Linked DNA regions of Mus musculus: region 1 is reported to be linked to region 2. The links are microRNA targets in miRTarBase. Many come from high-throughput screens and were not tested one by one. Region 2 holds a microRNA gene; the other region holds the end of a gene's coding sequence.

Region 1 (3,000 bases), not on the chromosome of region 2:
TAACTGGATGGGCAGCTTTTGCAGCCAAAACTTCTTCAGCTGGTCCATCAACAGCAAAATTGAATTCAGCAGCACAAAACAGTAGTGGAAAACCTGCTGCCTCATCCTCTAACCAGAAGCCTGTGGGTTTGACTGGTCTGGCAACATCATCCAAAGGTGGAATAGGTTCCAAAATAGGTTCTGGTAACAGCACTAGCCCCTCTGTCCCGTTGAAACCGCTTCCACCACTAACCTTAGGCAAGACTGGCCTGAGTCGCTCAGTGAGTTGTGATAACGTCAGCAAAGTGGGTCTTCCTAGTCCTAGTAGTTTAGTTCCTGGAGGCAGCAGCCAATTGAGTGGGAATGGAAATAGTGCTACAACGGGGCCCAGTGGAAGTACCACCAGCAAAGCCACATCAGAGACCAGCAGCAGTACCTCAGCATCTCTTAAAGGTCCAACTTCTCAAGAATCACAGCTCAACGCAATGAAGCGATTACAGATGGTCAAGAAGAAAGCTGCCCAAAAGAAACTCAAGAAGTAATATGGCCAGATAGATTTTTATATCATATTACTCTAAAACTTAAAAAACAAAACAAAACAAACAAAATAAAACCCTTACTGGGACAAAAGTTGTAATGTACTGTACCTTAATAAAAATCTTGATCAAATCTCTATTGTTTGTTACATTAAAATGCTAATATTATTTAGCCAAACTTGGATCTATTTATTTCAGTCTGTTTAGCATTTTTAATTTCCATAGTGTGTGAAAATAGTGATTATAATGACTGATGCATGACAAGAGCTTCAAGAAATTGATGGCGCATACAGATGAAAAGAAATGGCTCACCTGGTACCTTATGGGTGGCAGGGACAACTCAATAGAAAGTGTTCCAGCGTTTTATAAAATCTGAAATGTTCAGTGTCAGTCATTGTCCTCATGTCAGCTAGTATCTCTCTCCAATTACCTCCTCTTTTATCAAAATTAATTTTGAAAGTGATTTCCCATAGCTCCCTATCATGTCTTTAGCTCTCAACCACCCCTTATCAATTACTTAGGGCGTTATTTATTCCAGTAGATTATGAATGCTCATACAGTATACTTTCTCACGTTGCCCACTTTCCGTACCTGGCCAGTGTGTGGATATGTGCAGATATGTACATTTAATAAATGCTGACTTGGCTCATCCTGGTTGCACATTCTGAGAATCATTGAGAAGAGTATCCATTTCCAAGAGGCTTGGCAGATGGGCATTTATGACTAGTTTGCACCCAGCTTCTTCCTCATGGTGAAAGGACAAGCTGTTTTTAATACTTCAAGAACGTTTGGTGTGGTTTATCTTTGTATGAAAGAGGCTCCTACCTAATGATTAGTCCTTGAGGTTTCTGTCAGAACGTGCTCATATGCTTTGAATATTGTTAGGATATGGTTTGTCTTAAGGTTTTATGTGTTAGGAAGCATAATCCCCAATATGGCAATGGAGTTGGTGGTTGACAGGTGGAGCCTGTTGGGGGAAGAGTATGCCCTTGGGAAGGATTAATTAGTCCTCATATGTCCACTGACTAATTCTGGCCAAGAGTGGAGTTATAAAAGGCTATCCCAGAATTGACCCTTGGGCAAAATCTCCTCTGAACTCTTGCCGTGATGTGATCCTATATACATGGTCCAAGCCATTGTCTTGTAAGCTAATGAATTACCCATTAGTTTACATATATATATGTATATATGTACATACCCCAACAGAGAATACTTTCTGTATCTGACCAGTAAATGTATTATAGAAAAATAGCTTCCTTTCTTTTTTATAATCAATGAATACCTCATTATTTCCCAAAAATGAATCTTGTGATTTCCTATATTCATTGAGTCAAATTGCTTTAAATCTAATCTCAGTGTATCTTTATCCCTAGATGTTCTAACATCATTATTCTAAAAATAAATTGATAATCATTGTAAAAGAGAAAACTTTTAAATTAAGCTTGGTCTTTTTCTATGGAAGTATTTTAAACTGTTAAATAATGGCGTTAAATTGTTCATAATAAATTAGAAACCAATATTGAAATAAACTCAAAATTTAGAGATGGAATAAATATCTATTTATATACTTAAAAATGTGCCTGTAGATGTTTTTGTTTTGTGAATCACCTTTCTGTTCATTAACACTGGTTTGGTATAAACTCCATATCCCCTTTATAAAGAGTTCAAAACAGTTTGTTTATACTTCAAATGCAATTTTGACTTAACAAAATGACCTGACACAAGTTTATATCAACAGCTATTACAGTTATTGAAATTCACTTCCTTGAAGACATTAGAGAAATAATGCTTAGTACAGTTTACATATTAGCTTTGAAGTAAAAAAATTTTAGTCTCATTACAGAAAGTGTGCTGGATCTGAGAGAAGCAATTATTTTTGATATTTGTGGCACTAGTTGGAAATTTTAATGAGTTTAGGAAGTAATTTATCTTTCAGTGAATAGGATTCTTTGTATAGGTAATTTGTGTGCGTGTGTGTGTGTGTGTAGTAAGGGCCTAAATTTGGTATTTTTAAGGTATATATTTGATATTATAAATTATTATAAATTAACTAGCTCATAGGCCTTTATTTTTTTCCTCATCAAGTATACTACAAGAAGCAGTTATGAAAGTAGCAATAGTATGGGTTTTTTTTTTTTTTTTTTTGGTTATGTATAACAAGGATTTCTAACACTTGAGTTATATGAGGGGTAGAGAGCTTGTTTTGTCTTGAATAGCATTGGAATCTCCAGCTCTCCAGTGAATGAGTGAACAAGTGAGAAGGTGTCTTAGTTTTCTCTTCTGTTGTGATAAAATACTCTGACAAAAGCAACCTAAAAGAGAAAGGGTTTATTTGGGCTTACAGCTCTCAAGGGACAGAATCCATCATGATGGTGAAAGCAGGGCACCAGACCATGAGGCCAGTTGATGAGTTTGTCTCAGCTTTCAGGAAACAAGACATAGAGCAGGGTATAAAACCTCAAAGCCCTCCCCCCAACCCCCAAGT
Region 2 (3,152 bases):
TCGTGGTATCTATTTTATTATGTTGGAGATATGACCCCAGGAACTTGTATATGCTAGGCAAGTACTCTATTACAGAACAATATCCCAAGATATATCTGTAATAACTCTTTAGTGAACTTTATCCATCTATCCATACATCCATCATCACCTCCCCTACAACCATCCATTTACCATTCAACAGATATTGTTAAGCAATGACAACATCCAAAACATGGCTATAGGTGCTAGGAATAAGGCAGTGAACTGCTGTCATGAAGCTTACAGTCTAGCTGCCTCATCTGGACAAACACAGTGTATCATGAAAGTTCACTGGAAAAGTTTAGTCTAGATTTTTGAAACAAATGTTAGCCAGTACTTTTCAAAAACTGGACATGACTTTAGGGTGCTTGGGTGGAGAATGAAAGACTGTCTCGCATCCAGCCTAAGTAAAGGTTCTCGGGGTGGCCTGGGACAGGGCTTTAGGAACAATGTGGCTGGATTTTTGATTTCTTTGATGAACCTGGTTGAATCAAATTGTGTAGTTACTATGCTGTATAGCTAAGTTTTAAAATGTGATAAGAAAACAATGTGATTTTGTTACTGTCTCACTCATAAACTGGCTCGGAAGGCAGTTAGTTCTCAAAGCAGCATTTTAAAACTATTCTGAACAATGGCAACATCAGAACACATTTTCAGGGGGACTGCTTCAGACAGTTCAGTACATATCTTGAGTGTACAGATCCTAATCTATTTAAAAATAAAAATAGCTAGTAGGCAATTTGTTCAAAAATAGTGCAAAGAAAGAAATGTAGACTTACATATTTTAATTCATTTTTGAAATATTTATGCATTATATGTTTGGATTTGTGATTGCTGTAAAATTAATTCACTTTAAAAATAATGAAAGGAATTTTCCTTGGCATTTTTCTTCAGTCAGTTGATGCATTGTCTTCTGCATGTGACTCTTCAACGTGAACAGCCCAGCTACTTAGCCATTGTCTAAGTTTTATGTAAAAGTCAATCTTCCCATTACATGGCAGGCCTGCAGAAATGCTGCCTTCTGCTTTGAAGCCAGTGTATGATCAAATTTAAGTTAACTGGTTATTTCTCTTGCAGCGGAATGTTAAATCAGGAATTGTAAACAATTCCTAGGCAATGTGTATAATGTTGGTAAGTCATTCCTAGAAATTGTTCACAATGCCTGTAACATATATTCAGCTAGCAAGATTCCTGAAATACATAGGAAGCCTTCAAGAAGCTAACTGTACATTCCTAGAACATCTCTGGATCATGACATTTGTTTTTGTAATCAATTCTACTTATTTATTTGTTAATGTGTCTAGGTGTTAATAATTCTGATAATAGCACTACTACTTGATTTCCATAGTTCCCAAGGGTATCTGCATTATTTGATAGTACTTTGGTGATGCAGGGTTTTAGACATGCTAATTTTAAGAGGCATTAGAAATAAAAAAATCAATAATTAGGAGCAAAGGCAATTGTACTTCTTAGGTGAGCCAAAGCCCTAAACTTTCTTACTCCTTTACAAAAGCTTTAACTAAAGCTTCATTGCCTTTCTCCAACCTCACTTCCAAACAAATTTTGATATTCTAATTCCATAAGTCATGGGAAAGAAACAATAATATCTATCAACCTTACTGTCATGATTTTTTACCTTACCCTGTTCACTTATATGTTAATATGTTGATGTTTGCATAGTCATTATTTAATATGTATACTTGATTACTATTTATAGTTATCTATTTTCATTTACTATTTTGAAATGATCTGCCTACTGGTTTATATCAGCATAGCTGTGGGTTGTATCTTTTCTTAAATCAATTTAGAAATGAAAACAAAATGTTGAATGAGTTTTGAATGAGTTTTGGCCTTGAGTGTTATGATCATATCAAGCCACTGGTTGGGTTTCTTTGCATGTAGACAGTTAAGTGGATTCCCTTGACTTCTATTTGACTAGTGGAAATGGACCATCCTGGCAGCCCACTCAGATGAAGCCAAGAAATGAGCTGGCTATGCGGGCTTTGGATCAAGAAATATCAAAAGTATGGACAAAGTCTTTTGACAATTGATTTCAGCATCTGTACTGGTATACATTGGCTGATATAGTAATATACAGCTGAGCAATATTTTAAATGGTCCTCAGTTTGGTTAGATGATGACACTCAACCCCAGTCTCATCCCTACTGTATTCAGACATGACCCATTTCCCAAGGCCCAACGCATTTCTGTCTGTCAAAGTCCATCTAGTTGTTTTGGTCCTCTCTGGTGTATCTTCTTTTAATGCTTCTATTCACTTAAGTCCATTTTGCCTTTCAAACTGAATTGCAATGATCTATGTACTGTGTAATTTTCAAGAATGCCTTACACTTATGGTGACCATATTTTCTAACCAAAAATTAGAATATATCTTCTGAAAATTTAGGTAGGCTATTTGAAATTAGCTGTCCTTGGGAAAACATATGCTTATTCACTTCAGTGTCTCCTACCCATTGAACAGTCAGCATTGGGTATGACAATAGGAAGATAAAGACTGTAGATAACATTCACTAAGTTGCAAGTAAAAGGAATGGATGTTTTTGGAGTGTCTTGTATAGGCAGGCATAGCTTAAGTGCTTTGTTACTGTGCCTTAGGAATAACATATTGGTCCAGAAAATAAAAATAATAGAAGAAATGAAGAGGGACAACAAAAATACCCATAGTGGGAGACATAGTGGAAGGATTGTATCATACAATGCAGCAGGTAAGGGAAGTCTAAAAAGAGGAGGCCTTGTCAGAAAGACAAATACAGAAGTTCTTTGCTATATTTCTTAAAGGTATGATTAGACAGATTTTTCAACATCTCTGTGTACTGCTGATCTTTTTACCTTTACTCCTCAGATTCTGCCAATGCTTGGATTACAGGAGATGCTCCACCCCCACAAGTACAAGTGTGGGTTTAACAGCTTCGAGTAGAATATAAACACTGGCTCACTACTGAACATTATGTTATTGTTCAGGCAACCCAACTTTACATTTTGAAGGTTTTGTGTTTCATCTTGAACTCAGAATGAAAGACCTGGACCTTCATCTTCACAGTCCTTGATGTTTCATAGGGAATCTCTCCAGTCATGCTGCTATACTCTTTGAACCATACATGAGGTTTGATATGTAG

The links. Region 2 holds the annotated microRNA mmu-miR-384-5p (UGUAAACAAUUCCUAGGCAAUGU, at 1,116-1,138, shown strand). A microRNA usually pairs through its seed, bases 2 to 8, with sites in the 3' UTR of a target mRNA and lowers its output. Matches are read on the target gene's strand: a 7mer-m8 pairs with bases 2 to 8, a 7mer-A1 pairs with bases 2 to 7 and ends in A, and an 8mer does both.
Region 1: the mRNA of Ints12 is a reported target of mmu-miR-384-5p. Seed matches in the 3' UTR shown: 7mer-A1 at 1,682-1,688.

Annotation. Positions count from the first base shown.
Region 1 is chr3:133,108,899-133,111,898 of GRCm38, forward strand. It overlaps Ints12 (integrator complex subunit 12), which reads left to right. Exons shown (of 7, transcript NM_027927.4): 7 at 1-2,090. The coding sequence ends at 521. Among named protein-coding and RNA genes, the nearest start is that of Ints12, 19 kb to the left of the region's middle.
Region 2 is chrX:105,342,318-105,345,469 of GRCm38, reverse strand. Mir384 (microRNA 384) reads left to right here and starts at 1,101; the gene lies at 1,101-1,188.